Nothobranchius furzeri: one gene and its partners. The protein of the gene in region 4 interacts with the protein of the main gene of each other region in a pairwise test. Links are inferred from orthologs where the notes say so. Each region holds a gene or a part of one and is shown on either strand. Other genes may lie near its edges. The genes, in order: sugp1, srpk2, khdc4, splicing factor U2AF 65 kDa subunit, snrpa and thap1.

Region 1 (3,500 bases), on a different chromosome or scaffold from region 4:
CGTTTTTAATAGGGTCAGCCCAGTAATGAGCTTGGACCAAAATAAAGGGGGCAGAAAGTCAAATAAAGGGGGGCAGAAGGAGATGTTTTTCCAGATGCCAAGAAAAATTGAATGCCAACCCCTCCCCCCCTGCAAAGTGTGTCACTGAGAGTTTAAAACAAAAATTATTCTTGTGCAAATATTGGTGTATTCACCTTTAATACTAGTTATTAAAATGCAGCAGTTGCCGGATTTGTGCAGTTCAAAGTGGAGTGCATCAAATAAAACAATATTAACATAAAGGTGAGACGTGTCATAGCTGATCTGTCGTGGTGAAGAGGGAGCTGAGCCAGAAAGCCAGGCTCTCGATTTACCAGTTGATCTACGTCCCAATCCTCACCTATGGTCATGACCGAAAGAACGAGATTGCGTATACAAGCGGCTGAAATGAGTTTCCTCCGTAGGGTGGCCGGGCTCGGCCTTAGAGATAGGGTGAGGAGCTCGGACATTCGGGAGGGACTCGGAGTAGAACCGCTGCTCCTCCGGATCGAAAGGAGTCAGTTGAGGTGGTTTGGGAATCTGGTCAGGATGCCTCCTGGACGCCTCCCTGGGGAGGTGTTTCGGGCATGCCCTGCCAGCAGGAGGCCCCCGGTCGACCCAGGACACGTTGGAGAGGTTACATCTCCAATCTGGTCCAGGAACGACTTGGGGTCCTGCCGGAGGAGCTGGTGGAGGTGGCCGGGGTGAGAACGGTCTGGAGCTCCCTAGTTGGGATGCTGCCCCCACGGCCCAGACCCAGATAAGCCGAGGAAGTCGACAACGACGTGTCATAACCCCCCCCACCACCACCACCACATCTGGAAAAATTCCTAGAGGAAACATTGTAGCTACATTTCTGAGGACCCTCAGCTACTTTCTGTGGAACATTCTTCTAAATATTTCCTGCAAATTAGCAACAAAATAGCGATTTTTGCTCCGAACCATTCTTTGGATTGACGCTGTTTCAGCTGTCATCAAGGATATAAACGTTACAGATAGAATCAATGTCACTTGTGCTTCAGCTCACCTAGTAAGATGTCTGACTTACATGCAGAAGAACTGGGTTCGATTCCAGGTGTGAACATAATTTGTTTGGAGTTTCTTTTTTACATTAATGATATATTTTTTTACGGTAATAAGACGCCCAAATTATTATTTGAGACCCACCGAAAGGCACTGAATTCAAGGATAAAAAAGATGTGGGTTCAGCTTTCATTTTGGAACTATTTTTCAAGCAAGGGAGAGAATGATCTGAGCATGCATAAAACTTTGCCGGCTGTGCTGAAGAGAACCAAATTATTTAATTAATTAGCTGCATGTTCTCCTGTCCTCTGGGCCACCCCCCCCCCAACAAACACACACACACTGCACATTCGGCAGGCCGACGAGTAAGTGCAGCTGCAGAGAGAGGCACATTATTTTAATTAATTTGCTGTGTTCTTCTGTCCTCCGGGCAACACGCACGCACGCACGCACGCACGCACGCACGCACGCACGCACGCACGCACACACACACACACACACACACACACACACACACACACACACACACACACACACACACACACACACACACACACACACACACACACACACACACACACACACACAGGACTGTCTCAGCTGTTATTTTCGTTAAGGAGTGTGCACGTACAGCATGCGCACCTCATGCACGAGATTACTTTTGAAGCTGCCATTACGCGTTAGGCCTGAGTGGCGATCGCAAGCATAAAAACTTCAAACTTCCTTAGAGTCCCTTTAAACTACAGATGTACGAAAAATGTTTACTGTAGTAAGCTTGCCCATCTTTACCATAACACCCCTAAATTATATATTTAGTTAAATCAGGCTAAACACACAAATTTAGAGAAGTACTAACTTTGAGTGCTTTAAAGGTCTCCATGAACTTGTCCAGTTCTTCAGGTGGAAGGAAGTCACCAATAAAGTGTTTCCCTTTACCCATCTCTGTCAGAGACTCTGCCCACTCTGCAAATGTTGAAAAGAAAAGGTTTTACGGCAGTAACTAACCGTGAAGCACAAAAATGCTATCATCAACAGATGCTAGAATTAAAAATTCTCGTGAATATGTTTTTATCTGTATCATACCACGCGTCTTCTCCATTTCCATCTGTCTCAGCTGATGTTCCCAGGTACCAGCCTTATCATCCACTTCTTCATCGCTGTCATACTCATGCTGATGTTCTCTCATAGCTTTATCCCACAGATTCTGCATCTCTGCCATTGCACGCTTGTGCTTCATGATCATCTCATACATCTCTTGCATCTGTGAGGAGAAACAATATGTAGGATACAGAGATATAAAACCAAAATTGAGTTAGGGTGTGAACAATAATAATAACAACAACAGCTGTCTGTATCTACCTCTTGTTGTTCTTTGATTTGTTTCTTCTGCTCCTCAGACAGTTCAGTCACTCCAACCAGACCGAGAGGTTTTCCCTTCTTATAACCAAGACCACTCAGCTCCTGGACTGAAAAAAGAAAAATGCCAGTTTCAAATACCGCAGTCGCTACTACAATGTTAGGTTATGTCCCTGACTGTGTGACATTTAAGCAAAAAGGGAAACAAAATCCGTAATGACTTTAAAAACAAAAACACTGGTTAAATTAGCATCAAAAAGTTTGGAAATATTAGCTAATCACATAACGAACAAAAACATTTCAGAGATACTTAAGTTTGCTCACCGGAGAGGGAAGGTGCGTTTGGGTCTGGGATATTAACCTCTGGAGGAATAACAACTGGAGGAATAGGCAGATGAACTTTGTCATCTTCAGAACCCCATCTACTCTTTCTCTTGCGTTTGACAGGCGGTGTTGCTGACTCCTGACTCAGATGCACGGGTGTGCTGTTGAGCAGTGGGGAGATTCCTGGTCGGTGAATGCTTCCCCTAGATTCTTCCACTGCAGGCGAAAAGCTCTGAGAGTTTGTGGCCTGATATTCCCGCAGTTTTTCTCTGTAAAGTTGGTGGGCCAGGCTTTGATGGTTGTACAAAAAGCTAAAAGAAAAGTAGAATGAAGATTATTTTTTGATATTTTTCAGCAAAGGAAGGCTGTGAAAAACCAAAAATGCTTTAGGATAACAGAAGATAGCTTCTGTAAATGACCTGAAGGACGGGTTGTCCCGATTGCGCTCAACAGCGATGGCTTCCACCTCAGGGCCACCCTCCGCCACAAACCTGGCCAGATTCTCAACCAGTTGCTGGGTTTCCTCGTCCACTGGGGGGGAGACTTTAAGCAGCCTATTAGTACTGGGACTCAATTCACACTCTACTACTGTATCGTACTCAACTGGCCCTCACACACCACCAGTCTAGATCCAATAGGGAATAAGAGGAGGAAAGGGGAAGGAGGGGCAAGGAAGGGACAGGGCTGGTGAATGGGGAACTGTTTGGATGTGAGGCTTTGACTACAACAAATAAAGAACAAATAAAGCAAAGACATTTTCTCCCGTGTACAGACAGATT
Region 2 (3,500 bases), on a different chromosome or scaffold from region 4:
ACTTTTCCGCTGCCGTTCCGCACCGCTGACGCTTCCAGCATGAAATAGTGGTGGCTCTGGCCCTAAGGTACCCTAATGGAGTGTCAGGATTAGTATCTTCAACAAAAACCTGCTGCATCTAGTCCTGTACATGTCTGTCCTCAGATGGAGGATCTACAGGTGGTGTGGGTTTTATGTCTCTATTATTATATTGTTAAATGTATTAGTTGCAGTGTCTTTAACACATGCAGCATGATGAAAGATGGTGCACACGTTCATAAAACAAATGAAGGGAGACAGGTGAAGGTTAGGAGACTGGGACTGTTTAAATGTGGTCCTAATCTACTTTGGTCTTGGCTGACTCAGACTAGTTATGACCTCATCCGTGCTGTAGGAAGTAAATTGTTTCTCAGAACTGAGGCCCTTCTGGAAACCAACAAGTAAGATGGTGTTAAGATATAAATTTGACACAGGAACACTTTTCTTCACCTTTCATGCTCCAGCTTTAAACCCATTTTAGCCTGAACCTGTTAAATACCTGAGCGACTTTTGAAGGTTGAGTTTGTGTTTTATAAATGTAGCAATGCGAGGAGTTTAAGTGGTTACCCTGAAGCTGAAGCAGACTACCGGCTGATGTAAGTAACTGACAGCTTGTGGCGAGGTTCACCAAGAGGACAGGGTTCATGTAGAGTTTCTACAGACTTTCACTAAAAGACCTGATTCTTTCTTTTCTTCTGAACAGGAAGTTGGAGATAAGAGAGGAAAAGCAAGAGGAATTGGTTTCAAGTACCAGAGGGAAACATTAAAAGCTCATCTGTGCATTTATTTTCTGCACTAAACGCTTTACTAGTAAAGAGGGAAAGATAAGGAGTCATTAGGTGTTTGAAAGCATTAAATCATATTCAATTTAGGAATATGAGGTGGCTTCCTGCCATATTACAGTTGTCCCCACTTTGCAAACAAATCTAAATTATTTGATCTTAAACCCTCCCACTGTCCTAATGGGTGTGACCCCGCGAGAAAAGTGTACCACTGAGCAGGGTTGATGGTTCATCCCTTGGGTCCATGTGGCAGGGGTGAGGAGTGATGACCGCCTCACCCCTGCCACGTGGACCTCAAGGCATAAACCATCAACTCTGCTCAATGGTCAGCTTTCCTCGTGGGGTCACCCATAAAGACAGTGGGAGGGTTAGATAAGACTTTATTACTTTAAGGGTTTGTATTATTCTCCACAAACTTCACATTTTCAAGTGTTATCAATCAGACATTGCTATAACGGTTTTAATCTAAATACAGCTTTAAGACTACCTCTGAGGCGTTCAGCTGAATTAGAACACCAGAACAGACACATCATGCCTCTTTTGATTGAAATGAAACATTTAAGCATAAAAATTGTGTTTTTGCCTGTTGTGGTTCCTGTATTCAGCGTGACCTCCACTCCTCTGACTGTGTGTGTGTGTGTTGCTACCTGCTGATCCAGACGGCGGTGGGGCTCCAGCTTTCTGCCACTCCGTTGCCTCCATGGCCATCCGCCTCACAAACACGTCATCAACACACATCAGGATGTTCTCTGGCTTGATGTCTGTGTGAATGATTTTACATTTGGCGTGGAGGTAGTCCAGCCCCTGCAGGACCTGATGACAACACACATACATTTATCTATTTGGGTCAAAATTTGAGCTGGGCAATAAATCGAAAATGTATCATTATCAAAATTTCTGACTCTTAGAGATAATTTTTCCCATGTCGATAAAATTGATAATAAAAAAAATGAAAAGATGTGCGTAGGTTGGCAACGTCCATGTCCCTTTAAGAAGCTGCACCACCTTGAGTCATGTAAAAATGTGACAGCCCCACCTAGTGGAAAACTTTTGTTTCTACGCGTACCTTTAGTTATCGTCCGTTTATCGTCATCGAGGTGAAATCCTCGATATATCGTGATACTGATTTTAGGCCATGTCGCCCAGCCCTAGTCAAAATGAATACATCTTTCTGTTTGTGAGTTTCAGATTAACAAAAACAAAAATACCAATGTTTAAGGTCAACTGTTTTGGCTTTGGGACTGAGACAGAAACAAGATCATTCATTGTTCTGTTCTTCTCCAGCTCAGGTTGTGAGAGGCCAACAGTCGCTGAAAATACTCAGCGTCATCACATGCTGACCAGGTGGCTGATGGGTAAAAATCTCTGAGGCTCGTGTCTGAGAAAAGCAGCCATGCTTGAGTCTGAAGCAAACAAGTATCTGCTCTTCTTTCATTGGCCTGAGAATTATTAAATGGTCCACTGTACAAATAGAGGGACTCGTAAATTTTGGTTTTACAATCATGATTTGTCACTGCTCGACCAGAATATGGTTTTCACTCAGAATAAATAAACCATGATGTGTGTGTGTGTGTGTGTGTGTGTGTGTGTGTGTCAGTCACCTGTTTGATAATGCTCTTGACACACGGCAGCGGCAGACCTTGGTAGTTGGATTTAATGATCCATTTGAGCAGGTGATGACCCAGCACCTCGAACACCATACACACATCTGGGATGAGGAGTCAAGGACTCACATTATCATACGTCTCTGACACACAGAAACACACACAACCTCACCGATGAGCACATTTCTGATCAGGATACGTATGCCGTTGACCCCAGAGATCTTGAAGTCGTCAATCAGCTGAACCACCATGTCCTTGTTGGGATCACCGGGGTCGCTTTCTCTCACCTGGGGGGTGAAATCGTAGAGAAGATGAGGTGAGACAGGCTGGAGGAAGAAAAGATAAGCCACAAAGGAGTGGTGGTGCTGCGGGAGTGTGGGAAGACAAAAGAAAGGCTGCAGGAAGGATTCAGAGTGGCAGAAAAATGCAGGGAGTGTGATGAAAAGACCTGTTATAAGAACAAGATAGAAAAGGACAAAATCAACCAATCAGATTCTCACACATCGCAGCAGTTTGATCTCATCCAAGGCCGTTTCTGTGTAGTGCTGGGCGCTCTTCACCACCTTCATCGCCACAAAGTTCTTCACTCTGCAGTAAAAACACACGGCATTCATGTGACAGAATATATGATTGACCACATTAACCTGCGTCTGAGCTTGGCTGTCTTTCCCACAGACACTAGAGCAACAGTTGGATTTTTATCACACCACAAAAACTATTCTGACAGACCTCTTTCACACATTCATCCTTCTACTGCGGACTGACAGGACAGGAGATATCTGAGTAGCCAAAATGTCACAGTTAAAAAACGTTATAGTGTCTTGCTGTTTGTGTTTCAAACAAAAATGTAATGTTTGTGTCTTTGTTTCACTTATTTCTGCCAGAACTGGAACTAAGATTAATGAGTGTGGGAAATATGACTGTTGAATGAACTCAGAGCTGAACTGTCAGTCTAAAACGATGACGTTTCTTGTGTGGAAATGTTTTCATTCAACTTTACAAAAAACTGGAGAGATCATTGTTTACTGAAGGTCAGGCGCCAAACCCAGCAAGTATGTGAAGTTTATGATGACCCTAACCCCTTTAACAAGTCATC
Region 3 (3,500 bases), about 180 kb from region 4:
TGCTGCCCCCGCGACCCGGACCCGGATAAGCGGAGGAAGACGACGACGTTTTTTTTCAGCATCAGCAAACCGTAACCAGAACAGATCACACAGCAGTGTGTTAATTGAAGGCAGCGATATTATCAAGTTATTCATCTCTGCCGTTCGGTGGAAAACATATTTGGCTTTTGTCGTCGTCCAGACGGAGTTGAAAAACAAGGCGATCAGAACCTTAAGAGCTTCCTTTATCTGAGGATTGTCTCGCAGGCGTTTATCAGCTTTTACCAACAAAGTGAGGCGTGTAAAGTGAAAGGTACGCCACACAGACATGTACCTCCTGGTGGCTTCTGCAGATGTTCCACTGACATAACATTTTGCACACTAAAGAATAGAAGGTGTAAGTGACTTTGTTCTGCTGCGTGAAACAAGTATTTCCTGTCGTTTCTGGAAGGTGTTGATGTAGCTTAATAACTCGCACAGATTTTTTCTTTGCTCGTTGTTGAACATTTTAAGCCCTAACAGTCCTCACATACGACGCTCTCCTCCCCAGGTTCATTCTGAATATTCTCGCTACCTTAGTCAAATGAACACAGTGATGCCAACACAACAAGGTAAAACACAACTCGCACCTTTTTGTGTGTGGGTGACTTAGCTGTCTGGTTTTACATGTTCTGGTCTTGTCCTTCAGGCTTCACCCAGACTCCAGTGATGAACGAGGTGTCCCCTCAGCCTCCCTACTACCCTCCAGCTGGATACCAGTCTTCCTACTCACAGGCTGTGCCACCAGTTACGCCTCTTCCTGTCCCACCACCTTTTCCGGTCCCACCACCTGCACCTATGGCCGCACCTTCAGGCGTGCCCTCTCAGTACCCTTTACGCCCGGCCCCTGCACCTGTTCCTGCCCCCATTTCTACCCCCGTTCCTGCTCCCACTGTGGCTCCTGCTCCAGACACACTACAGCAGGTAAGGCTTGGCTATCATGTTAGCGATGTGTTGCTACAGATCTGATCTGTTTCACACAAGTTCTCACGGGGTTTTTGCTGCAGGTCATTCCACTAAACTGACATGTTTATATATGTATATTATATATATAATATATTATATATATTTATATAATGTATATAATATATATATATAATATATATATATACATATATTTATATATTATGTATATATATATATATACATAATATATTATATATATATTATGTATATATATATTATAAATATATATATATATATATATTATATATATATATATATTTATAATATATATATATATATATATATATATATATATATATATATATATATTTATAATATATATATATATATATATATACATAATATATTATATATATATATATTTATAATATATATATATATAATATATATATATTATATAAATATATGTATATATATTATATATATAATATATTATGTATATATATATTATAAATATATATATATAATATATATTATGTATATTTATATATTATATATATATATATAATATATATTATGTATATTTATATATTATATATATACATAATATGTATATAATATATTATATATATAATATACATATATTTATATAATATATATATATTATATATAATATATATATATATATTATATATAATATACATATATTTATATAATATATATATATATTATATGAATATATGTATATATATATTATAAATATATAATATATATAGTAAGTATATATATATATTATATATATAATATATATTATATATACATAATATATGTATATATAATATATATTATATATATATTATATATATATACATAATATATATGAAATCAAATCAAACTTTATTTATAAAGCACTTTTCATGCACAGGAAGCAACACAAAGTGCTTAACAGATTAAAATGACCCATATAACCCACATTCCCTCCCTTTCCCACAGTTTCACCCCCAATCCACAAACCATTCCCAGGCGCACGCACACACACACACACACACACACACACACACTCGTCCACATTAAAAGACCACAGTAAACACTAGGCTGAGCTCAGATTGGACAGGTAATGAAAGACACGCCATCAAGGGAGCCATCTGCCTCGACAGCAGCAGATCCACAGCAGCAGCAAGACACCAATCCAGGGTGCCCTGGGAGGGAGGGTGACAACCCCCCACCATTACCTGGGCACTACCCAAGGAGCGCCCCAGCCGCCGCCACCGACCACCGGTCCTGAGGCAGAGGGCTCCACAGAGGAAACACTGGAAGGATGAAATACGTAACATGTAAAATAACAAGAGCTAATGTGGATAGTAAAATTTCCTATAAAATTTGATTATATAACTAAAACGACATAAATATGTAACACAACAGTGATTAAAATAAATAAGTAAAACAAGCAATGCAATAAATAGTAATCAGTTTAAAGCTAAACTAAAAAGGTGGGTCTAGAGCCTGTTCTTAAAAACATGAACGTTCTCCGCGGCCCTGAGATCCTCCGGCAGCCCGTTCCAGAGGCGAGGGCCATGATAACTCAAATATACAGCTGAGCAGATTCTTAAGACACTTGTACGACTAACTCTCCCGTAGGTCTCGACTCACTGAGACGTTGCTGGCTGCATTTGGGTCTGATGACACTTGTCCTTAAACCTGTTGCATTTCAAATAATTTAAGGATAAGAATCAAAGACATTGTGACAATGAGAAGCATTTTGCAAAATGCAGGTTAAAGAAATGTTTGTATGCGTCATCGTTTTGTCTTTGTTTGGGTTCTGAGAGTTGATTCGGCCCAATCTGTTTCTCCTCTGTGCAGCAGACTCTTCCTTCTGTACATTTTCCTCCTCCTCCTGCCGCAGTGCCACCCAAAGCCCCGCCTCCCGCCGCTCCATCCAATCCCCCGCAGAAACGACGCTTCACCGAGGAGGTGCCAGACGAGCGGGACAGCAGCCTGTTTGGATATCAGGTAAAGAAAACGTTCTTTTGCACTCGCACCTCCTCGTGGGTCTGTAGTGGAGTTTACTCCTCCCTGGTGCTCCACTTCTTCATTTCCATATGTATTTATTCTCATTATTTCCCCCTCAGTGTGTAGAGTTCCTTCCTTTCAGCCAATCGTATTTAAGACCCGTCTAAAATGTCCAGCTTAATAATTCATCCTTCCTCCATTCCAACGTTTTATGATTGATGCATGCTATTTCCTGCTGAGGCGCTCTTACGCTTTAGTTGTGACGTGTCTATCGTAAGGATCGAGGAACACCCGTGTAGTCAGACTTCTATTAAATATGATCAGTAAGTAAGTAAAACTTTATTTATATAGCACTTTTCACAGATAAAATCACAAAGTGCTTCACAACAAACATAAAAAGGCAAAACAGGACAGGAGCACAAGGTCAACTTACATAAAAGCTTGTCTAAATAAAGTGTCTTCAGCTGCTTTTTAAAAGAATCATCCGAGTCGGCCACACGAAGAAACAAGGGCCGGGCGTTCCAAAGTCTGGGAGCTACAGCTTGAAAGGACAGGTCCCCTCTAGT
Region 4 (4,100 bases):
CATCTGCGTGACCATCACCCACGTCTCTACAGCCAGTGCAAGGTAAGTTAACATTAGCGTTTTAGCTTAAATGCATGACGTGAGGACTTTTGGTTGAGGGAGAATGCAACGAGTCACTATATACTGCAGCCGCAGCGTCCTCTGCCAGCATTTAAACCGTGTCACGGACACCCTGTTGCTGGATGAAGCATCTTATTTGTTGATGATGAAGAGAAATATACAATTAGTTCCTTGTCATTGATTTGTTTACTTATTCAATGCCATTTATACTTGAACATTTGGATTTGATTACACAGTGTAGTAGTTATTTTAGTAATTTGTTTAAAGTGGCTATTTATTTTAAATACATATTTTTTAAGGTTGACTTGTACAGTGCTCAAGTCAAGTGTGGACTGGAGTTTTAGATTTTCATTTTGATAATGAAGAAAACAAGTATATGAGAAAACAAGTGGTGTTTCTTTGATTTGTTTACATATTGTTTATGGTTTGAATGTTTGGATTTGTATAATTTAAACCTGCACTGACTACTGTAACATGTTCCAGAAAAAGAAGCTATTTGTTCCTTTACTTGTGAAAAGTTGCACTTTTGCTAAGACTTTGTGTTATTTTAGGTTTAATAAACACTGTTAAACCTTTTCAGAACTATTTCAGTTTGTGTAGAACAGGACTATCAATGCTTTCTGAACATATGCAACACCGTTTAAAAAATACAGCGATAATACCGAAAACCGTGATAATTTTGGTCACAATAACCGTGAGGTTAAATTTTCATACCGTGACAACCCTATTAGCAGCTGTTGCTATGTGTTTTGGGGAAAATAGACAAAAATAACCGTTCAAAACCCTGTATTAAACAGTAACTAAGCGATTTTTCAAGTAACATCCAAATTAAGAGTTAAGAGCAGAGTGAAAATAAAATACAGAGAAAACACTGCAGAAATACCACCTTGTTTGAGTTCTTGACCAGAATAATTAGAGACCTTTTCATCTTTAACTTAAAACACATTCATTTTCTGTGCCCCTGTGCATTTATTCAAGTGACAAACTAGTGTTATAATTGTTTTCTGTTGAGCAAAGAAAAAAAAATGTTTTTTTTTGTATAAATTAGTGAATTAAAACAAACTCCAGACATGTGCTGTACTTTAGAGATATGTAGTCATATCACTTTAAATACCGACTTTTGCACAAGCACCAGTAGCTATTTATATGCTTCATCAACACGTCTCATATCTGACTGTAGTGGTCACTGTGTCAGTTTAAATTTCATGACAGGATAAAGGTTTTACAGTTTGTTGTCGCCATCATAAACTGCTACAAACCTGCGCCGGTGTCTCCGCTCCTTACTGTCTCCACGGCGGTCCCTGCTGCGTCTGTCCCTGTCTCTGCTCCTCCTTTTCCTCTCTCTGCTACGACTGCGGGACGAGGACCGACGGTGATGACGGTTCTCCTTGTCCCTTTCAGCTGCAGGGATAAAGATCTTGTAAACCAACAGAAGTGCCTGACATTTATAGAATGCCCAGATATGAAAATACGAAGTCAAAGCTTGTATCTCCTAAAGGCAGGAAAGTTATTTTGTTTTGGGTGGAAATTGGGATAATTACAATAATATACAGCAACAAAATGGAAACTTACAATTACTCAGTGAACAACTAAACCCTAAGAGCACCTGGTATTGTCATTGTTGTGTTACATCTAAAATAACAAGTGCGTGGGCAGGTTGGACATATTAGGGTACAAAAGGTGTTGGGAAATATCTTAAAATACACATTTCATCTTTGCATTATAATCAATTACTGCCAAAATAATTGTACAAAAATACCCTCTTGTGTTTTTATAATAAACTAAATATAATTAATTTGCTAATCATCGTGACAACTCTAAACTACTAAAATCATTCTAGAAATGTTACTAATTATGGCTCAAACAACATAATTAAAAAACAATCGAAAACCTTACAATTAGTAAATATTACTTTTTATTATTAATAGTAGATGATAATGTCTACAATTTGATGTTATTACTAGCTAAATGTAAAAGTTACAACATTTAGCTCGTTGTCTGTACGACAACCAAGCGGCCCTGATTGCAAAGATCTTTTTAGGTCAAGTCGCTAAATTAGCGTTTGTTTAAGACGCAATTGACTTATTCTGAAATGAGATGTAATAACAAATCAGCAAACAGCACTTTAGTGTTCCCTGTCAACTACACCACTACCAAATGAATGTAAAGTACTCCTCGTAGGACGACGAGCACCATGTTTTAGTCAGGCCCAGCTTTACTTTTTAACTTTTACAATGAATTTATCAATTGTCAAACGTAGCTTGCCGCTTCCATAGACATTGACACTAGAGGGAAAAAATAAAAAATGTTAGTCTGAATTAGTTCGCACGTTAGATGTTTTAAGGCTACGTCCTAATAATGAGCCAACCCCTGTAAATAGACATACCCACGGACAGTAAATCCAATGGCGACTATTCAACTCCATTCGAGTGTTTTTCTTTATATTTTATATAAAAATGTTTTATTTACCTTGTTTATTTTCAGATAGCTGTCTTTCGAATTCGTCGTAGTCCGACATTTCTGGGTTGAAGCCTGTTACGCTTTCAGGGGATGCGTTGTTCAGTCGGCGGAAGCTAGCTTAAGCTAGCAACAAGGTGAACAACACTTTAAAATACCAATACTATTCGCCTACACCGCTTTAGTTAGTTCGCCTCTGGTAACACCTTTGGTGACAGTAAAATATCAAAAGTTAAAAAGGGGTTTACAAATTAGCAGTGTGGTATATTTTACAACGTAAAAGAGAAAAATCTTAAGAAACAAAAACGTGCTCGTGCTAGCCTGCTAACATTAGCTAAGACCAGAAGAAAAGGCCCGTTACGAGTGCCGAATTAATGAGTTTCCCCCAAGCAAGATGCAAATCCAAGAGGACCACTAGCCCACGAGGAGCACTTGCATAACTCTATAAACCAAAAATATACGCTATCAAGAAATCTAAGAGTCCATGAATCAACAAAGATTTCGGTACGCCCGCTTCTTTTGCTCCCTTAAGCAAGTAGCCCCTGACACCGGAAGTTGATGCTTGCTAAATTTCCGTTTAAAGAATAAGAGCTTCAACCCTGTCCGTCAAATCGATCACCATAAGACACTTTATTCATTCTCTCCAGATTATTGCGTCCTGGCAAAAAACTTATCAGCTGTTGCAAACTGGTAAACTGAAAGTTTACAAGTACTTTTGATTTAGTGACCACACTATTGTTTAAAATTTTAAATAGACACTCAAAAAATCACATTCAGCACATATTAATGTGTATTTATCAAGTCATAATAAGGCAGACAACAGCTTATGTGTCACAAGACCACATGTATATGCTGAAAATAATGACCTTTAGAAAAACGCGTTTTAAGAAAACAAGAATTTTATTGTACTATTTTACGTACTTTGAATGAATCATTTGCATTCTCACCTCTGTGAGGGGTAGTGTTGAATTTTACTGATAAAACTCACATTTTTGTAGGAACATAATTGCTTTAGTGATATTTCACTGGTGTTATTCTTGGGAGTGAAAACAGTTTCAGACAGTGAAAACAGTTACTGTCAATCTAATTTAGTTAATTCTCAAAATGTAAAACATGTGTACGTTCAATGATTTTCACAAGAAAATGTTCGCTTTGTGGCAAAAGACAGTCATAGTTTACAAAAGGTTCTATTTAGACACCTAGTCACATAATCCAAAACTGTTTAGAAGGAAGGCTTCAGTGGAACAAGTTATGCAGTCAGAAAAGCAAATTGCATCAATCACAATGTTACCTAGAATGTCATCACATTCTGTTTAAATTGATTTAAAAATGAAAATAAATTTTATTTTCAGATGTGCCATGCTCTCAAAAGTGCATCTGTACCACAAAATACTGCAAGTGATTTGTTTTAATAGTTTTTTAAAATGAAATTAATGAAACGGTAAGGGGAATTTGAATGTTTCTCTTATTACAAGAACATACAAATTCTGATTAAGGCAAGAAAAAACTGTAATGAAGATTTAATCTATTAACAGGGATTTTTTTAAATAAACATTAAGTTCACAACAGAAAAAATAAAGTAA
Region 5 (3,830 bases), on a different chromosome or scaffold from region 4:
CCGGCACATCTTAGAAAGGCCTCCTCACTGGAAACTTTTAAATCATCTTTAAAGACCCACCTTTTTAGCTTGGCTTTCAACACGTTTTGGATTTCTATTTGATTTGTGTTTTATTTTAGTGTGCTTTTAACCTTACACTGTATTCTATTTTATGCTTTTATGTTTTTATGTTCAGCACTTTGGTCAGCGAGGGCTGTTTTTAAAGTGCTTTATAAACAAAGTTGGCTTGGCTTGATTAAGCAAATGCAACTCTAAACTCAATTCCTTTCTTTGACATTTCAGACAGGAAATGTTGAGTTATCCTTTATGCTCAAACCTGTTCACACACACACACACACACACACACACACACACACACACACACACACACACACACACACACACACACACACACACACACACACACACACACACACACACACACACACACACACACACACACACACACACACACACACACACACACACACACACACACAGCGAAAGAAAGAACAGTCTAGTGTTTTACCAATTCAAATTTTAATCAAGATAAAAAAAAAAGAATAGCTCCAGGTACAATGTCTGGTGGACCAGACACTGGGTGCAATGCTTTAACAGTTTATAATAAAAAATTTAAACTATGAAACAGAAAAACAGAGAAGTGGACACCAAGTTGCGCAAGCATTACAGATTAAAGCCAAACCATTGCACAAAGTTAGAGCTCCCAGTTTTTCACTCCAACTTTCTTAACAGCAACTTGACTCAGATACTTACATGTACGGACATGTATGCAAATTAAATCAGGACCTGGTGGAAGATGCGTTATTTCTTGGCAAAAGAAATCTTCATGGCGTTCGTCTGAGTGATCTTAAAGCCCTGCAGAGCATCTCGTGCCGCGCCAGCCTGCACCTCGTTTTCAAACTCCACAAAGGCGATGTCGTGACGACCAGGAACAAGACGCACCTCTTTGAAGCCGGGAAACCTTTAACGCACAGAGCAGCTCAGTTACAATTACAGAAAAAACAGTTTGAGAGAATTAAATTCTCAGATTATTTGCAATGTTAGCATCACAAAACAGTCAAAGTTGATCCATTTTTACGCATCTGTTTAAATGTATGACTAGAAAATGAGTACTGACTGGTTGAAGAGCATGGACAGCATGAGTTCGTTCGTCTCCTCTGGCAGGTTGGTGAGAAAGAGAATGTGGTTGGGTGGATTTTCTGAAACCTGTGGGAAGAGAGTAAGGATTAAACTACCAGGACAGGAAACAAAACGTTCTGTGAGGAAAAAGAACACAAGCTACCTGCTGAGGCATCTGTCCTGGCATCATCTGACCAGGAGCAATCCCACCAGGAGGAATCTGGCCTGGAGCCATCCCAGGAGGAGGCATCATTCCAGGAGGGGGCATGTAAGGTGGCTGGCCTGGAATGTGCATCATGCGAGGAGCCTGGTTCATTGGTGGCATTCCCTAAAGAATGACAAACGTTTAGTTTCTATTCATGTTAATTGAGCTTTTAACTCTTAATGCATCTAAAACCTGCCGTTACTTCACTAACAAATATCTAGATTGTTTAACCATGATTGTAAAAAACACCTAGTGCACTCACTGGGATTGCAGAAGGTACCCCAGCAATCGCTGCAGCATTTTTTTTACTTCCTGTAGATTCAGGTTTGGGCTTCTTCTTTTCTTTTTTACGGTCACGCTCCACAAAAGTCCCCTTCATCTTAGCTATAATATCCGAATCCATTTTAGAGTACTGGATTCGCTGCAAGAAAGTATATATTTGAGTCACACGTGTACTTCCATCAGAAATGTCTAAATTGTGCATTATTAAACATGTTTAATAGACGTACCATAGGTTTATCATAGAAAGGAAAACCCTGCATGGACCTTAATGCATTAGAAGCGCTGTTAATCTCTTTAAAGATAACGAACGCCTGACCCTTCATCTTCAGGTTTCGTGCGACCAAAATGTCCAAAATTTGCCCAAACTGAGAGAAGATGGCATAAAGGGACTTCTTCAGCTCTGAGGGAGACACACAAACAACAAATAATCAATAACAATAATAAAGGAGACTTTGCATTAATTGTGCGTGAAATAAACAAAGAAAAGGAAAGAAAATGATGCGAAACTCACCATCTTTCTTTATCTTCTCGTTTAGGTTGTTGATGTAGATCGTGTGATTGGGGCGCACCTCTGCTGGAGTGGTCATGTTTAAGGCTAGGAGAATAAATAAAATAGCTAAAAATAAAATAAAGACTCAAACATGTGCTTATTTTCACGCAGTTTCAAGTCCAATTTCATTCAAAAATCCAGCATCTAAACGCAATGGTAACAAACATGGCGGAAGGCAACAACAGCGTGTTAGCTAAAAGCTAACTAACAGCATTTAGCGTCATTAATCTGCCTAAATACTTCTACTAGTTCCAACGTTACCTCAAATCGTTTAAGCTTGTCAAAAATATTTTAAATCAACAGTTAAAATGCACTTAACCATGTAAAACGCGTTAGATGTTGACGTAGTACCAACCTGAAATTGAATGAAAGCTCCGAGACTTTTTTCCCCAGAAAACAAGAGGAAGAAATTCTTCTTCTTTGTCTTATTTGTTGGTTACCAAACCGTTCTGGTGAATTACCGCCACCACACGGTGTAAATCAAAATAGCGAAACTCAAAACACCATTTAACTTACAATGGCTAAAACTAAAATGGTTTTTCTTCTTATTTACGCTGCTCTGGGTGGCTGCATGTTGGAGTAGCTCTGTTAACTATATGTAAGTTTAGCCTTTTCTTGGACATTTTTTCTTCTAGTTTCTCAAGAAAAACGGTATTTTTTTGGACACTTTACTTTTCTGTTTCTGGTGCTGTGAAGCTTGGAGGACTTTTGCTGCTATTGTTTAGGTTTTTTCACTTTTTGAGCATTTGTTATGATGCGTAACCATGGCAACAAGCTGGTTTACAATCGGGAGCAGCTGTTTAACATTGAAAAGGCTGAAATAATACCTCAACTGACGCGACAAATCCCAAATTAACTAAAACGCAAGAAGCGTGGGTGCAGAGCGGGAGCAAAACGGAGACAGAGAAAGAGGAAATTCAAACCATCTCTCCCATCGATCATAATGGGCAATGTGAGATCACTGGCCAACAAGATGGAGGAACTCCAAGCCCTTTCAAGGACTCAGTCAGAGTTTCGGCACTTTCTGAACCACTGGAGGAGATAATGCAAAGAAGGATTCTCCAGAGAATCAAGAAAATTATGGACAACCGTGAGCATTCTCTTCACAAGACTGTCCGACAACGGAAGAGTGTCTTCAGTCAGAGGCTTCTTCAGTTTCGCTGCAACACTACTGGAGATCCTTCCTGCCAACAGCCATTGTAATATACAATAACTCTTTGATGACTTGATTATTATTATTATTCTGAGATACTACAGCAATCAGTTTCCCCCTGGGATTAATAAAGTATTTTTGAATTGAATTGAACAGTAAATCAGAAATACTGGAAAAACATGACGTCAAAAAAAGGCAGAGTAGACAACCTAAGAAGAATAACAGTAACTTTACAATAAGGTACGTAAAATTATGCTTCGTAACTAGGGAACGACTTAGGGAGTAATGAGTAATGAAGCAGGGAAGAATAGGTAGTTAACCAATACATACTGGTGAAAACCCAACAGTTTTATTCAGGGACTAATCTTTGAACGCATTAAGGAACAAATCCCAAATGAATGTAGTGCCTGTGGACTTTTTTTTTTTGTAAACTTCATGAACAATGCAGATAATTTGCAACATCACAGTGATTTAACATCACTGTTTCATCTTGACTTCACACGTCTGTCACTTTTTTGTCC
Region 6 (4,165 bases), on a different chromosome or scaffold from region 4:
TTGGTGAAATGCTGGGAGCAGATGTTGCTGTACTTGGTGGGTTTGAAGTTGTTCCTCCTCATGGCAGCGACCCATTTCCCACAAACATCTGGACGGGCCAAAGGAAACCTGGGAAAACACGTCAAATGGTACAACAGCTGGGGAAGTGAAGTCCTCACAGGAACGTCATTCAGATGAAGACAGGCAGTGTTGGGAACGTTACTTTAAAAAGCAATTAGTTATAGTTACTGATTACTTTGTCAAAAAAAGTAACTCAGTTACAAGATTATAAAAGTAACTAATTACCAAGAAAAATAACTACTTAGTTACTTTTTTCATTAAAGAATGCAAGAATTACTATAATAGTGAAATATAAATGACTAATGACTGGAACATAATAAAACCTGAATAATTTAAATAAATAAGCACTTAACAGGAGGAACTACTAATAGGAACATTACACTTATCTAGACTATTAAAAGGTCTCTGTGTGATATTTAACAAAAACCCAATCAGCTAACATTTAAAATTGCAAATAGAAACACCTGTAAAGGTTCCCGAGCCTTTAAATGGTCTCTCAGTCTAGTTAAATTACAGAAATAAATGTAATTTTCTACGGTATTTTAATTTTTCCAGCTTCACATAATTGTGTGTTTTTAGTAGCATTTCTGTTGCAGGTAATCTAGTAACGGTTAAATAAATAAATAAAATCCTTTAAAATGACACTAGAAGAGGCACAAGCCTGATGGAGGACTTACATTTACTAACTTGGGTCAGACCCAACCACAGAAGAGCTGAAGCTGGGTGGTAAACACACACAGGTAGTTCTGATAACACCTGAGCTCCATGACGTCTGAGACTGATGCATCAGTGTTACAGCGGGACTAAAGACATGATCAGAAACAGGTTACAGCTGGATGATCTAGGAAGGTAGAAGATCAGGACGTCTGAGAGGTGAACAGGTGAGCGGACCTTCGGGACGTCCCGCTGTCACGCTAAGAGCACGGCTGCAGACCCACAGATTCGCTACTGCAGCAGCGAATCATTCATCACGTCTTCCTCGTTCTTCACGGTCCGTGATGCTCTTGGATGAAAACATCTACCTCTTTAGCTCCTGATCAGCTGATGACAGCTTCAACACACCGCGCTGCTTAACGCACGCATTTCCTTATCAGTAACAGAAATGACGTTTTGATAAAAGAAGACGGTAATTAATTAGTTTGCTCGTTACAGGAACACTTTTTTTTTATTAACGCGGTTATTTTAAACGGCGTTATTCCCATCACTGCTCTGTTGTGTCTACAGAATGCAGCGACTGAGACCGTGAGGGTCTCCGCCCACCCGGCCAATCACCATCGTGTTTGTAAGTGCGTTACCGACACCTCTCTCTCCCTGGCTGCAGCTGAAGTGTGGCGGTCAGAAAGCCTCACGCTGCTGCTCAACGTTCGACAAGCACGTGGTAACGGTAACGGCGTTGCAGCAGTGGGAAAAGTAATCAATTAAATTATTCCGTTACCTAAAAAAGAACGCCGTTAGCAACGCCGTTATATTTAAACGTCGTTACTCCCAACACTGAAGACAGGTGAAACAGAACTACCTCATCACTTCTACTTCTAAACACAACTGGGCTCAGTAAAACCGACGGCTGCAGGTAGAAACACGAGAAGATCCGAAACGTCTTCAAGAACCGTCAGGAACCCAAACCATCAGAGGCTGAGAAAAGAAACCAGGTCCAGTGGACTAAAAAGGACCCATCCTGTGAGTCCAGTCTGCTCTAGATCAGGAGAGGATGACGGAGCTTTGGTCTGGTTCTGGTTCTGAGGACAAATCCAGACCGTCTCTACAGCCAGAGATGATTAGCATGGAGGTCATGACCTCCACCGGAAGGAGGACATGTTCTCACTCCATCAGAGCAAAGCACGGTGGTGGTGATGAAAATGAACAAACGTCAACTCAGACAAAGTGACTGATGAGTTCTGGAGGAACCAGAACCCGAGCCAGAACCAGCCTCTGTAGCTGATCTGTGAGAAAGCAGAATGATGAAGATTTTAGTGAAAAAATCCAAAATGATTCCAGCGATAAAATAAACGACTTTTAATAAAAACCTGAGTTTCTCCACGTGACCCGATGACGCCGCATTAATTACAGCAACTTTACTGAAGTACTGAATGTTTATCTAAACACCAGGAAGTGTGAAACACACCTGCGCCGACGCTCCTCCACACCTGGCCTGAGTTCTCTCCACACCTGGTTTTATGCTCCTCCTCACTTGGCTGCTGCTGCTCCACACCTGCTCTGATGCCCCTCCACATCTAGCCTGAGGCCTCGCCACACCTGGTTTTATGCTCCACCAGTCTGGACAACTGGAGGTGTTTCTGTGTTTGTAGAATAAACTGGTCCTAACCACTAGCTGCTCTGGTTTTGCTCCAACATGTCAGACTAATGGGACTACAACACCTGGACACCTGTTGAACAGGTGGTTCCTCTGTGAGGCCGCTGCTCGGACTTCTGCTTCATTCAGCACGAAAACATGAATGAATAGACTGCTGTGACTGAACGAGGCTGTTTCTGAGACCGGACCGAAGCTCGGGCGGGCTAACGAGAGTCGGCGCAGAAACACCGGAGCCGAACTTACTTGTGGAAGGAGACATCTTTGTCTTTGTGGTACCGGTTCTTACAGCCATAGGCTGAGCACGTCTGGACCATTGTTTCATCCCAGAAAACGAACCGAACCTCCGCCAAACCTCGTTGCCGTCAGTCCGATCAGGCTTCACTGCCAATAACAAACATGGCGGCGGAGACAGGGTCACCTGACCCGCGTTCTGCCCCCTGATTGGCCTCTCTTCCTGGTAACTGTCATTTTAGTGTGTGAAGCGAAACTTGTTAGAATTTTTTTTATTATAAATCGTTGCAGATAAAAAAAATAAAAATAAAATAAGTAAAGGATAAAATAAAATAGTCACAGAAGAGCAGTTGGACAAAAAACATCTTTTCTTTGAATGCTTTTAATAACTATCACTTGATTTCATACAAATATCCTTTTGTTGTCTTTTTACCGTGTCCTGTCCGGCTGTGAAGCAACCAGAACTGATGTCTGACTGCTGAAGACGAGCCTTGCAGCTTTATTCTCTCAGGTGGAGCTCACAGCTTCTGCCGTAGCCACTGCTGACACCAAAACTTTATTAGCAACACTTTCGGACACAGAGACAGCTGTGAGAGAAAGGGGGAGAGTGAAGGAAGAGGTGAGGGAGGATGAATTATATAAATAATAAATGATGAAGAAGAATCAGCTTCTGGAGAGAGAGAGAGAGAGAGAGAGAGAGAGAGAGAGAGAGAGAGAGAGAGAGAGAGAGAGAGAGAGCGTGAAAAGGAGACACACAAAAATACAACAAGACAAAACATCGCTGCTCCAACAGCATGAGGATATATAACAGTAACTGCTTATGCTGGGAAGCATACCATAATAATTCATAGTGCATTTAGATATGCAGGCAGACCGAGGCACCGCCCACCGGTAGAACAAGTGGCAGGAGGGTACGCGAAGATGTCGTAACACCTCAAGATGTCTCAGCAGAGGAGAGGAGTCCAAGACCCCACCTGACGTACATGCATCCCTCATGCTTACACACACACACACACACACACACACACACACACACACCCTATTCACTCTGGTCCTGGTACTAGTGATGGGAATGGCTCAGCTCACCAAAAAGAGCCGGCTCTTTCGGCTCCCAAGTGGCTCCTCAGATTTTCTTTTGCGCAGAATACATTTATAACCAAAATAATGCAAAACTATTTGTAAAATGATTTACTAATGTAAAAAAATGCTGTGTATCAAATATTTATCATTTCTATGGATTTAATAACTGAACACTTTAAGAAATCTCCACTTTCCGACTGCTGGCGCTAATTTTCTCACCGTCTTCGTCGCACTCTCCTCTCTCTGCCTTTTTCCTCCTCCTCATTCCCGCTCGCCTCCCTCCGCCCGCATGTGCTCTGCTGTGTGTCTGAGTCTGATCCTCCCTCTTCTCCGCCCCTACTGCTCTGTGTGTGGACAGTCTGGACACGCAGTTACACATGTTGACCAATCACCTGCAGCTTTCACCAAGGCAGGGGGGGAGGGGGAGGGCTCCCATCGTTCACTTCAAAGAGTCGGCTCTTAGAGCCGGTTCGTTCGCGACCG

The links.
Region 1: the proteins of splicing factor U2AF 65 kDa subunit (region 4) and sugp1 interact in binary tests that used the Homo sapiens proteins (3 or more experiments, as listed by UniProt). The link is inferred for Nothobranchius furzeri from reciprocal best matches to the Homo sapiens genes U2AF2 and SUGP1.
Region 2: the proteins of splicing factor U2AF 65 kDa subunit (region 4) and srpk2 interact in binary tests that used the Homo sapiens proteins (3 or more experiments, as listed by UniProt). The link is inferred for Nothobranchius furzeri from reciprocal best matches to the Homo sapiens genes U2AF2 and SRPK2.
Region 3: the proteins of splicing factor U2AF 65 kDa subunit (region 4) and khdc4 interact in binary tests that used the Homo sapiens proteins (3 or more experiments, as listed by UniProt). The two-hybrid records come from large-scale screens. The link is inferred for Nothobranchius furzeri from reciprocal best matches to the Homo sapiens genes U2AF2 and KHDC4.
Region 5: the proteins of splicing factor U2AF 65 kDa subunit (region 4) and snrpa interact in binary tests that used the Homo sapiens proteins (3 or more experiments, as listed by UniProt). The link is inferred for Nothobranchius furzeri from reciprocal best matches to the Homo sapiens genes U2AF2 and SNRPA.
Region 6: the proteins of splicing factor U2AF 65 kDa subunit (region 4) and thap1 interact in binary tests that used the Homo sapiens proteins (3 or more experiments, as listed by UniProt). The two-hybrid records come from large-scale screens. The link is inferred for Nothobranchius furzeri from reciprocal best matches to the Homo sapiens genes U2AF2 and THAP1.

The regions. Positions count from the first base shown.
Region 1 is NC_091751.1:56,746,240-56,749,739, forward strand, and holds part of sugp1 (SURP and G-patch domain-containing protein 1), read right to left. Parts: intron 3,265-3,500; coding exon 3,141-3,264; intron 3,033-3,140; coding exon 2,722-3,032; intron 2,508-2,721; coding exon 2,401-2,507; intron 2,303-2,400; coding exon 2,125-2,302; intron 2,005-2,124; coding exon 1,898-2,004; intron 1-1,897.
Region 2 is NC_091744.1:58,288,775-58,292,274, forward strand, and holds part of srpk2 (SRSF protein kinase 2), read right to left. Parts: intron 2,993-3,500; coding exon 2,905-2,992; intron 2,692-2,904; coding exon 2,604-2,691; intron 2,509-2,603; coding exon 2,402-2,508; intron 1,614-2,401; coding exon 1,448-1,613; intron 1-1,447. UniProt on the Homo sapiens protein: Serine/arginine-rich protein-specific kinase which specifically phosphorylates its substrates at serine residues located in regions rich in arginine/serine dipeptides, known as RS domains and is involved in the phosphorylation of SR splicing factors and the regulation of splicing.
Region 3 is NC_091745.1:76,384,845-76,388,344, reverse strand, and holds part of khdc4 (KH homology domain-containing protein 4), read left to right. Parts: intron 1-529; coding exon 530-590; intron 591-667; coding exon 668-942; intron 943-2,784; coding exon 2,785-2,934; intron 2,935-3,500.
Region 4 is NC_091745.1:76,204,262-76,208,361, reverse strand, and holds the start of splicing factor U2AF 65 kDa subunit, read right to left. Parts: upstream 2,801-4,100; 5' UTR 2,579-2,800; coding exon 2,530-2,578; intron 1,462-2,529; coding exon 1,320-1,461; intron 1-1,319. UniProt on the Homo sapiens protein: Plays a role in pre-mRNA splicing and 3'-end processing. By recruiting PRPF19 and the PRP19C/Prp19 complex/NTC/Nineteen complex to the RNA polymerase II C-terminal domain (CTD), and thereby pre-mRNA, may couple transcription to splicing.
Region 5 is NC_091753.1:42,104,708-42,108,537, forward strand, and holds snrpa (U1 small nuclear ribonucleoprotein A), read right to left. Parts: upstream 2,639-3,830; 5' UTR 2,512-2,638; intron 2,202-2,511; 5' UTR 2,194-2,201; coding exon 2,118-2,193; intron 2,007-2,117; coding exon 1,834-2,006; intron 1,746-1,833; coding exon 1,587-1,745; intron 1,448-1,586; coding exon 1,283-1,447; intron 1,207-1,282; coding exon 1,118-1,206; intron 962-1,117; coding exon 802-961; 3' UTR 501-801; downstream 1-500. UniProt on the Homo sapiens protein: Component of the spliceosomal U1 snRNP, which is essential for recognition of the pre-mRNA 5' splice-site and the subsequent assembly of the spliceosome. U1 snRNP is the first snRNP to interact with pre-mRNA.
Region 6 is NC_091746.1:71,097,268-71,101,432, forward strand, and holds the start of thap1 (THAP domain-containing protein 1), read right to left. Parts: upstream 2,801-4,165; 5' UTR 2,686-2,800; coding exon 2,615-2,685; intron 873-2,614; exon of another isoform or gene 740-872; coding exon of another isoform or gene 738-739; intron 109-737; coding exon 1-108. UniProt on the Homo sapiens protein: DNA-binding transcription regulator that regulates endothelial cell proliferation and G1/S cell-cycle progression.